Linked DNA regions of Anolis sagrei. The protein of the gene in region 3 purifies or fractionates together with the protein of the main gene of each other region. This does not show direct contact. Links are inferred from orthologs where the notes say so. Each region holds a gene or a part of one and is shown on either strand. Other genes may lie near its edges.

Region 1 (3,753 bases), about 29 Mb from region 3:
ACGGTGTGACCCAATTGTTGATCTGGTTTGCGGATAACTAGGACATCTAGAAAAGGCAGTCTTCCTTCATTATTATTATTATTATTATTATTCTCTTCCAACGTGGGAAAGTTATTCATAACAGAATCATAGAATTGGAAGAGACCTCATGGGCCATCCAGTCCAACCCCATTCTGCCAAAAAGCAGCGAAATGGCATTCAGAGCACCCCCGATAGATGGCCATCCAGCTTCTGCTTAAAAGCCTCCAAATAAGGAGCCTCCACCACACTCGGCAGAGAGTTCCACTGCTGAACTGCGGGAAAATAAACTTGGAAAAAAAGAATCTCTCTATTCCACTGAGCCCTGCCAAAAAGGAAGGCCCTAAAACTGTATGTGGAATAAATAAACAGTGGGTTGTTGATGTTTATTTCGGGCTATATGGCCATGGTCTAGAAGCATTTTCTCCTGACATTTCGCCTGCATCTATGGCAAGCATCCTCCGAGGTAGTGAGGTCTGTTGGAACTAGGAAAAAGGGTTTATATATCTGTGGAATGACCAGGGTGGAACAAAGGGCTCTTGTCTGCTGGAGATAGGTGTGAATGTTTCAACTGACCACCTTGATTAGCATATAATGGCCTGACAGTGCCTGGAGCAAACTTTTGTTGAGATGTGATTAGAGGTAGTTTTGTTGTCGTGTCAGGAGCAACCGCTCCTGTTGTGAGAGAATTGGCCGTCTGCAAGGACGTTGCCCAGGGGATGCCTGGATGATTTTTGATGTTTTATCATCCTTGTGGGAGGCTTCTCTCATGTCCCCGCATGAGGAGCTGGAGCTAATAAAGGGAGCTCATCCGCCTCTCCCCAGATTCAAATCTGCGACCTGTCGGTCTTCAATCCTGCCGGCACAGGGGTTTAAAACATTAGAATTCATCCAGGCGTCCCCTGGGCAACGTCCTTGCAGACGGCCAATTCTCTCACAACAGGAGCGGTTGCTCCTGACACAACAACAAAAAAAGGGGGGGGGGTTAACCCACTGCGCCAACGGGGGCTCCATTAGAGGTAGTGAGGTCTTTTGGAACTAGGAAAACGAGTTTATATATCTGTGGAATGACCAGGGTGGGACAAAGGACTCTTGTCTGTTGGAGCTAGGTGTGACTGTTTCAACTGATCACCTTGATTAGCATTTGATTGCCTGGTAGTGCCTGGAGCAAGCTTTTGTTGAGAGGTGATTAGACAATACATTAAAGTATTATTATTATTATTGGAAGAGAATAATAACGTGGGAAAGTTATTCATAACAGAATCCTAGAGTTGGAAGAGACCTCATGGGCCATCCAGTCCAACCCCATTCTGCCAAAAAGCAGGGAAATGGCATTCAGAGCACCCCCGACAGATGGCCATCCAGCTTCTGCTTAAAAGCCTCCAAAGGAGCCTCCACCACACTCCGCAGCAAAGAGTTCCACTGCTGAACTGCAGGAAAATAAGCTTGGAAAAAAAGAATCTCTCTATTCCACTGAGCCCTGCCAAAAAGGAAGGCCCTAAAACGGTATGTGGAATAAATAAACAGTAGGTTGTTGTAGGTTTTTTCGGGCTATATGGCCATGGTCTAGAGGCATTCTCTCCTGACGTTTCACCTGCATCTATGGCAAGCATCCTCAGAGGTAGTGCGGTCTGTTGGAAGTAGGAAAAAGGGTTTATATATCTGTGGAATGACCAGGGTGAGACAAAGGATTTTTGTCGAAGGCTTTCATGGCCGGAATCACTGGGTTGTTGTAGGTTTTTTAGGGCTATATGGCCATGGTCTAGAGGCATTCTCTCCTGACGTTTCGCCTGCATCTGTGGCAAGCATCCTCAGAGGTAGTGAGGTATGTTGGAAGTAGGAAAAATGGGTTTATATATCTGTGGAATGACCAGGGTGGGACGAAGGACTCTTGTCTGCTGGAGCTAGGTGTGAATGTTTCAACTGACCACCTTGATTAGCATATAATGGCCTGGCTGTGCCTGGAGCAATCTTTTGTTGAGAGGTGATTAGATGTCCTTGTTTGTTTCCTCTCTGTTGTTGTGCTGTTCTAATTTTAGAGGTTTTTTTTTAATACAGGTAGCCAAATATGTTCCCTAGGAAGCGACTACGAAAAGCCAAACGGGCCAGACAACCGTCATCGCTCAGTATCATCTTTCTTCCAGTCTTACCTGAGCATCTTTAGGAGCGCTCTTAGGAGACGCCATCTTGCTCGCCTCCATTGCCGCCATCGCTAAAGAACCGCTGCTGCCCACTGCGCATGCGCAGTTGGCACCCAAAGCCGGGAGTAATATCGAGCATGCGCAATGATGAAAGTGAAGCTCCAACAATTGCCCTTTCACTGCATGTTCCTCCTTCGCCGAGGAACAGCTGCAGCACACTGCGCATGCGTAGTCGGTACACAAACCCGGAAGTATTACAGAACATGCGCAGTGGTGAAAGTGAAGTCCCAGTAACTGCCCCTTCTCTGCACGCCGACATCGCAGAAGAACCGCTGCAGCACTGAGCTGAGCATGCGCAAGCGGCATCTCCCAAAGCCGGAAATAATATCGAGCATGCGCAATGGTGAAAGTGAAGCCCATTTCCTTGCCATTCATTCCCTAATAGGAAGTTTAAAAGGGATTTTTCAAGACTCATAATTACACTTTGTCTTAGAGAATGCGAATTTTCATACCTAATTAGTGGTGCTCTTTCTCTTTAGCGTGGGAAAGTTACTTTTCCAGGTTGCAACAGTCAGAAGCCACATTCCCAAATTATTATTTTTGGATTGGGAATCCCTGGGGATGCTGGGAGTTGTAGTCAAAAAGTGAGGACTTTTCTCCAAGCTCCGAAACAAAGCAGTTGAAGGCTACTTAGCACAAAAAATATAGCCCAAGAGGAAAAAGTGATATTTTAAGGAAAATACCTTTAATTTAGGAGACAATGATGCAATTCAGAAAAATGGTCTTGCAAAAAAAAAAAAAAGCCTGACTTGTTGCAGAATCAGGATAACCTACAAATGTATTATGGGAGGAAATTAAAGAAAAATAAGAAATGTTATGAAATATATATTTTTTCAAAAAATCATGTTGCATTGGCCGGGAATCGAACCCGGGCCTCCCGCGTGGCAGGCGAGAATTCTACCACTGAACCACCAATGCCCCAGATAAGGAAATGCTGCTTCACAAAGTTCTTATGCATTGTGGTAAACACCCATAGCTAGCAAGAGTTATAATTATGATAATTATACATTTTACTCCCTAAAAAGATTTATATCTTCAGCTTTTTCCAACAGATGCATTGGTGGTTCAGTGGTAGAATTCTCGCCTGCCACGCGGGAGGCCCGGGTTCGATTCCCGGCCAATGCAACCTGACTTTTATAAACTTTCCAAACACACAAAAAAAGGAAAAATTAATTTTCTCCCAAGTGATGCTCCTTGATTCAAGCAATCATGGCTTTTATTACTGTTGCCTTGCTATCTATTAGCCATGGTAATATATTTTCTCTGAACATGATTTGGTTTTGGTGTTCCAAGGGCCAAAAGGAACAACTCAAACCCCTTTGGGTTGTTGTAGGTCTTTTCGGGCTATATGGCCATGATCTAGAGGCATTTTCTCCTGACGTTTCGCCTGCATCTATGGCAAGCATCCTTGGAGGTAGTGAGGTCTGTTGGAACTAGGAAAAAGGGTTTATATATCTGTCGAATGACCAGTGTGGGACAAAGGACTCTTGTCTGCAGGAGCTAGGTGTGAATGTTTCAGACCACCTTGATTACC
Region 2 (3,753 bases), on a different chromosome or scaffold from region 3:
AACTTGGTGAAAACTTTTATTGGGAAAAATCAGGGAAAATATTGGGTGCTTCTTTCTGTCTCGCCAGGGCAACGAACTCTTTGATGAGTCTGATAGGCCTCTTGGCAAAGACCCCTAAATTCTTGCTCGATATCACTTCCCTCTATTGTGCTGAATCAATTGAGTGCAAACTACAGTGGGCTCTCCATATCTACTGATTAAAACAGTTTGAAAATATTCCATCTAAATCGAAATAAATCAAGCAAACCTTGATTTTACCATTTCATGTAAGGGGGATTTTATCACAGGCAGAGGAAGCTGAAAGACTTTGTGAAACTACAATTCCCATGATCCCACCACAGCACAGAGCTATAAGTGTCAAACTACATTCATTCTCCAATGCAGATGCACCTCAGATCTCGAGTTGCTAGATAAAGGTTTTGCCCTGACATTAAGTCCAGTCGTGTCCGACTCCAGAGTTGTGACTTCCAAACTAAAAGAGCAGACCCAGCGGAGGCAGCAATTCTGACTCTTCTACAGAGAAACCGGATTGGCGGCAAACGAGGGAGGGCGGAGACTTTGACAAACCACCACGGGGGCCGCCCCTCGGTGGGCGTGCCCACCCTGCTCCGCCCTCCGCTTCTCATTGGCAGAGCGCCGTTCCCTTTTCCGCCGCTCGAGCCTCATCCATTGGTCGTTCCTCCAGCACGTTCTCTCCGTCCCCAGCGGCGGCCGCCTTAGCCAACCAGAGGGCGGCGGCGCCGTTATCAATCTCTCCCCGCCGGCCAATGAGAGCGCCGCTCCCCTTCCGAGGCCGAATGTTGATACGCGGGAGCCGTCCAATGGGAGCGGCGCTGCCGGGCTCGTGCGGCTTTCGCGGCAAAAAGGATTTGGCGCGCAAAGGCGTGCGAGGCCGGGACCAGCTGGGAACAATAACAGAGAAGCGGGATCGGATCGGATCGCGGCCTGCGAGCGGGTTCTCCGGGGGATGCCCCGGAGCGGAGCCTTGGCTGGCTTCTCCCTCCTCGGCGGCGGCAGCAGCGGCGTCGTCGTCTCTTGACTCGGAGGCGATGGGGCGTGTTCCTGGCCGCCAGCCCCCGGCGCCCGGAAGGAACCCAAAGGAAGAAGGGGGCTCGGCAGAAAGACAGGGCGCTCGCCCGCTTTGCTGAAGGGGCGCGGGGCTTGGGGCGGACGGCGATGTGACCGCAGGGCCGCGTCTTGGCGGGAAAGAGGCCCTCCGCTCCCCTCCCTCGGACCATGTCTCTGGGAGTGGCCCACAGCGTGGCCGACCTGGAAGCCCTGCTGCGGGGCGCCGAGGCCATCCACGTCGTGGACCAGCAGATCGTCATCATTTCCACCCCGGACCCGCTGCCCGCGCCCCGCAGCGAGGCCGAGGCCGCCGCCGCCGCCGAGCTGCTCCTCTTCGCCACCCCGGAGGCCGCCGCCACCAACGCCACCGCCGCCGCCGCCGCGCAGAGGCCTACTCCTTCTGCCGCTGCCCTGGAGCGCCCGCCGGTAATAATCCAGCCTCCCCCGCGCTTGCCTCCGGGGAAGCCAGGGCTGGCCGGGCAGAGAGGCGCCCTCCCTCCTCCTCTTCCTTCTCTTCCTCCCCCTTAAAAAGGCCCCAATGCCCCTCCGGGCCCAGACTAAAGAGACACAAATCAAGATATATATATCTATATCTATATCTATGTATATACATTTGAGGGGGAGAGGGGGGTAATCCACCATGTTAAGGGGAAAGGGCACACTTCCATGCTGGGAAAATGGCCTTTTGTTAGGGCTCCATGAGGCCTGGTTCCTGAAGCAGAGCCTTTTTCAGGGTAATGAGACTCAGGGCCCTTCCTCACAGCCTTATATCCCAGCAGATCAAGGCAGAAAACCCCACAAGATCTGCTTTGAATTGGAATATATGGCAGTGTGGATTCAAATAGCTCAGATCTTGTGGGATTATCTGCCTGAGTGATATGGCTGTCTGGTAAGGCCCTCAACTTCAAAAGTGTACGATTGCTATTCATAAGCTTCAAAAGAGTGTGATTGCAATATTCAACCCCTTGCTGCTCTTAATAATAATCATAACAATGATACAAATGGCCTTTTGTTAGGGCTCCATGAGGCCTGGTTCCTGGAGCAGAGCCTTTTCCAGAGTAGTGAGATTTAGGCCCCTTCCACACAGCTGGATAAAGTCCCACATGGTCTGTTTTGAACTGGGATATTTGGCAGTGTGGGCTCAGATCACCAGTTCAAAGCAGATATTGTGGGATTTTCTGCCTTGATATTCAGGGATATAGAACTGTGTGGAAGGGCCCTACATTTCAAAAGTGTACGATTGCTATTCATAAGCTTCAAAAGTGTGTGATTGTAATATTTAATAACTATAGTAATGATACAAATGGCCTTTTGTTAGGGCTCCATGAGGCCTGGTTCCTGGAGCAGATCCTTTTTCAGGAAAGTGAGACTTAGGCCCCTTCCACACAGCTGGATAAAATCCCACATGGTCTATTTTGAACTGGGATATTTGGCAGTGTGGACTCAGATCACCCAGTTCAAAGCAGATATTGTGGGGTTCTCTTCTTTGATATTTAGTATTATAGGGCTGTGTGGAAGGGCCCTTAAGTAAGCTTCAAAAGAGTGTGATTGCAATATTCAGCCCCTTGCTGCTCTGAATAATAATCATAACAATGATACAAATGGCCTTTTGTATGGGCTCCACGAGGCCTGGTTCCTGGAGCAGATCCTTTTTCAGGACAGTGAGACTTAGGCCCCTTCCACACAAATGGATAAAATCCCACATTATATGTTTTGAACTGGGATATATGGCAGTGTGGACTCAGATCACCCAGTTCAAAGCAGATATTTTGGGATTCTCTTCCTTGACATTCTGGGATATAGGCCCTTCCACACAGCTGAATAAAATCCCACACTTTTTGCTTCGAACTGGAATATATGGCAGTGTGGACTCAGATCACCCAGTTCAAAGCAGATATTGTGGGGTTTTCTGCTTTGATATTCTGGGTTATAGGACTGTGCGGAAGGGCCCTAAATCACACCATTCTGAAAAAGGATCTGGTCCAGGAACCAGGCCTCATGGAGCCCTAACAAAAGGCTATCATTATAGTTATTAAATATTACAATCACACAGTTTTGAAGCTTACAGTATCTGCTTTGAAGTGTGATATATGGCAGTGTGGATTCCGATTGCCCAGTTCAAAGCAGATATTGTGGGATTTTCTGCCTTGATATTCAGTGGTATAGGGCCTGTCTGGAAGGGCCTTTAAGTCAGCTTCAAAAGTGTGTGATTGTAATGTTAAGTGTCTTCCTTGGATTAATAATAATCATAATAATGAAACAGTTGCCTTTAGTTATTGCCCCATGAGGCCTGGTTCCCAGAGCAATGTGGTGACACATGGGGCCCTGCCATACAACCTTAAATCCCACAATATCTGTTTTGAACTGGTTATCTGAGTCCACATTGAGATAATGTGGTATTTTCTGCCTTGATATTTTGGGATATAGGGCTGTGTGGAAGAGCCCTTAGGCCCCTTCCACCCAGCTGAACAAAATCACATTTTCTGCTTGGAACTGGAATATATGGCAATGTGGACTCAGATAACCCAGTTCAAACCTATTCATAAGCTTCAGAAGTGTGTGATTGTTATTTATAAGCTTCAAAGATGTATAATATTAATGACAAAAATGTTTATTTTATTAGAGCTTCCATGGGGCCTGGTTCCTAGAACAAATCTCTCAAGATGGAAGGGCTTCAAAACTGTA
Region 3 (3,753 bases):
AATCCATCTTCCCTTCCCCCCCTTTTCTTTCCTTTTTTATTGCATCTATCAAAAAGTCCTTTAATAAAAATTATTCTTTAAAAAATAGTCTAGCCTGCTGTCGACCTATGCAGCCTGAAAGACAGTTGCATCTGTCAAGTAGGAAATTTGGGTACTGCTTTATGTGAGGAGGCTAAATTAATTTATGATGACATAAAACCTTCCAGCAGTGTGCAGAAGAATAACGAAGTACTCCATCAAAGGACTCGGTGTCACAAGTAGACGATGAAGCGGCAGCTCCCCCTGTGGCCGGAATCGAGCATACCCTCATAAAGCTGGAAAAGCTGGAATGTTAAATGTCTCTGTGTCTGTTTATACATGTTGTATGTTTATATGGCATTGAATGTTTGCCATGTATATGTGCATTGTAATCCACCCTGAGTCCCCTGTAGGGTGAGAAGGGCGGAATATAAATAATGTAATTACACAAGTAAACATGACCCAATGTCATGTATCATGTTCTGCAGTTGATGGTGGTTGGTGGTGGTAGGCCTAGCAGTTGGTGATGGAAGGATTAATGTAAGTCTTATTTCTAAAGGGTTGAGTAATCTGTAAGTAAGAGTTCATGGGTGAAAGCAAGTGAGGGTGGAGGTATGCAAGGGATGCGTTGCAGCTGGGTGTTTCTGGATATAAGGAGCTAGCCTTGGGACTGATCTTCGAGAGCAAAGTAATTGTCATATTTTGGTGGTGGATGCTGCTGATTTTCCACCAGGTCTCTGGATTTTCGGTATCCCGACCTGTCTCCTTAACTCTTAGAATCCTGGAACCTTGAATCTTTGGACTGGCTGTTGACTACGGTAGACTTTTGATCCCTGGACTTTGTTTATTGAATTCTCGGCGTTTAACCACTGGACTGGACCTTTGACTACAGAGTTAGCTTGAACCTGGAACAGTGTTTGCTGTTTTTGTTTATTCTGTGGCTGAGTGCTATCTTTATGTTTTATATTTTGGACTATTAAAACAGCCTGAAAGTAAGTGCTGTTTTAATTAAATTGTTTTACACTAGAAACATTTAAAAAGAACCTTAAAACTTGGCTCTTCTGCTGCGCCTTTGGCGAGTAGGTGCACAACATGACACTATTGCTCCCCTCAATGCTTCTGCCACTGGAGTACACGCTCCCCAAATGGGAAGTTTAGTTTCACAACCCTGTGTGTCTTTATGAGCTCCCTGCAAATAACTTGCTCCTATTTTTATCTCATTAGAGTTTTTGAACATTTTATCCTGTACATGTGGCCCGCCCACTGTTACTGCGAATGTGTTTATTGTAATGTTATTTTGTTACTATATTCATATGTTTTTTGTTTTGTTTTTTTTAATGTAATTTTGATAATGTTGCTTGTTGTTTATGTTTTGGTTTTATTTTGATGTAATATGTTGTCCGGGCTTGGCTCCATGTAAGCCGCTCCGAGTCCCTATTGGGGAGATGGTGGCAGAGTATAAATAAAGATTATTATTATTATTATTATTATTATACAGACTGGGTTTTTGTTTGGTTCATCTCTGCCTCTGTAAAGGCAGAGCCCTGGCAACGTGACACCCATTGACAAGAATGTAGGCCAACACATCTGACAGAAATTATACATATGAACTAATTGGAGAGATGGACATTTGCTTTTCAATGTTTTCCCATAATTTCTGATAGCCACATCAACTTCTTTACCAGTCCCTGAAACAATTGGCTGCATATATTCAGAATGTCAAATCTAAGTGCTGTTTGCGCTCAGCGTCGGAGAACAAGGCGACCAAAAACCCTAATCAATGCCTTGCTACATCCATAAAGGATGCAGCTATGGCTGGACCACAAAGTCGGAGGCATTATTTCCGCACATTTTTGTCCCCTACGGGGCTTCGTACCTTGCACGCTGAAAATACCCCCAGCTTCTCGAGCTTTTTTGCCCGCGGGAAGCTCCGCGCATGCGCTTTACGCTGACTCGCGCGCTGTTGCTGGCTTAATCCCGGGCGAACCGGATCGCTGCTGCTGCTACTGCTGCTTCCTCCGGACCCGCCTCCAGAGGAAGCAGGCGGCGCTGTGGCCGAAGAAGCGGTGGCGGCGGAGGATGCGGCAGCCTGCGGGGTCCGGGCACTAGTCTGTAAGGAAACCTCCGGCTCCGCCATGATGTCCAGGACCCTCCGAGGCGGCGTGGGCGCATGGATGCCACTGCGCATGCTCAGAAGCCAGGCGGAGGCTCCTAGGCCTGTGGCTGGAGCGCCACTGCGCATGCTCGCTGTAACCAGTTGCATGCCGGAGAATGTAGTCCCACAAGTAGGGGCCGTTTAAGGTGAAATCCAAGGCTTAAGTGATGAGTCCTGTTGTTCATATAGCAGACCAGAAGAGAAAGGAGCTGTCAATCAACGTCATGTAAAAGATGTAAAATACATTCAGCCCTGATGCAGCTTCAAAACTAAATCTTACTTGGCCTAAACTTTTATTGGTGGCAGTTTATTCATCCTGAAGATGCCACAATACTATTTCTCTAATACAGTTATTTGATTGATTTGGGTTTTGTTTTGATTTGAATTTTCCTGTGTCTCTTTGATCATCTGGAGAGGCCCTACTTGCGCCCCCACCTCCTTCGCAAGCGCGATTGGTGGGGACGAGGGAGAGGGCCTTCTCGGTGGTGGCCCCTCAACTCTGGAATTCACTCCCTAAGGACATCAGGCATGCCCCAATGATGGCAGTCTTTAGGAGGAGCCTAAAAACGTGGTTGTTCCAGTGTGCCTTCCCAGAATAAGGAAAACTCTTAGCAATATGTCATCAAATGCACTTTAATATTGATTTAGGATTGTCTGTGTGCCCTCATCTTTCTTTAAAAACCCTATCCTAGTTCACCCTACCTTGTTCATGCCCAGCATTTTAAATTTTAAATTATTACATTTGGCCCGGACATAGGTTTTTAAATGCTGTATGTTATTGTTATTGTTTATTGCTTATTGTGTATTTTTTGTTTTTGAGTTTTATTTTAACTATTGTCGAAGGCTTTCATGGCCGGAATCACTGGGTTGTTGTAGGTTTTTTTGGGCTATATGGCCATGTTCTAGAGGCATTTCTCCTGACGTTTTGCCTGCATCTTTAGCAAGCAACCTCAGAGGTAGTGAGGTCTGTTGGAACTAGGAAAAAGGGGTTTATATATCTGTGGAATGACCAGGGTGAGACAAAGGACTCTTGTCTCCTGGAGCTAGGTGTGAACATTTCAACTGACCACCGTGATTAGCATTTGATTCCCTGGCAGTTTATTTTAACTGTTTTGTATTGATTACTGTTATCGCTTTTGTTTATTGATGTGCTGTGGTCTTGGCCTCATGTAAGCCGCACCAAGTCCCTTGGGGAGATGGTAGCGAGGTACAAATAAAGTTTTATTATTATTATTATTATTATTATTTAGTGGTTTTTTTTAAAAAAATTACTTAATCCATTTGGATCAAGAAACTGATTTGATTTTTATTGTGTTTATAGTCTTGAGGGAGATGTAGTTTAAAAAGGGAATTTTCAGAGATGCTCCCAATGTCCACATATCTTTTTCTTTCTTACTTCTTAGGCCAGGGGTCCTCAAACTAAGGCCTGGGGGCTGGATACAGCCCTCCAAGGTCATTTACCTGGCCCCTCGCTCAGGGTCAACCTAAGTCTGAAATGACTTGAAAGCACACAACAACAACAGGCCCACACTTCCCATTGAAATACTAATAAGTTTATATTTGTTAAAAATGTTCTTCAT

The links.
Region 1: the proteins of KAT2A (region 3) and TAF9 purify together in Homo sapiens (affinity purification with mass spectrometry; 7 studies listed by BioGRID, with this or other methods). This does not show direct contact. The link is inferred for Anolis sagrei from reciprocal best matches to the Homo sapiens genes KAT2A and TAF9.
Region 2: the proteins of KAT2A (region 3) and E2F1 purify together in Homo sapiens (affinity purification with western blotting; 4 studies listed by BioGRID and IntAct, with this or other methods). This does not show direct contact. The link is inferred for Anolis sagrei from reciprocal best matches to the Homo sapiens genes KAT2A and E2F1.

What each region holds. Positions count from the first base shown.
Region 1 is NC_090026.1:7,440,821-7,444,573, reverse strand, and holds the start of TAF9 (transcription initiation factor TFIID subunit 9), read right to left. Parts: upstream 2,265-3,753; 5' UTR 2,229-2,264; coding exon 2,169-2,228; intron 1-2,168. UniProt on the Homo sapiens protein: The TFIID basal transcription factor complex plays a major role in the initiation of RNA polymerase II (Pol II)-dependent transcription.
Region 2 is NC_090024.1:209,386,945-209,390,697, reverse strand, and holds the start of E2F1 (transcription factor E2F1), read left to right. Parts: upstream 1-788; 5' UTR 789-1,236; coding exon 1,237-1,494; intron 1,495-3,753. UniProt on the Homo sapiens protein: Transcription activator that binds DNA cooperatively with DP proteins through the E2 recognition site, 5'-TTTC[CG]CGC-3' found in the promoter region of a number of genes whose products are involved in cell cycle regulation or in DNA replication.
Region 3 is NC_090026.1:36,358,409-36,362,161, forward strand, and holds the start of KAT2A (histone acetyltransferase KAT2A), read right to left. Parts: upstream 2,207-3,753; coding exon 1,895-2,206; intron 1-1,894. UniProt on the Homo sapiens protein: Protein lysine acyltransferase that can act as a acetyltransferase, glutaryltransferase, succinyltransferase or malonyltransferase, depending on the context.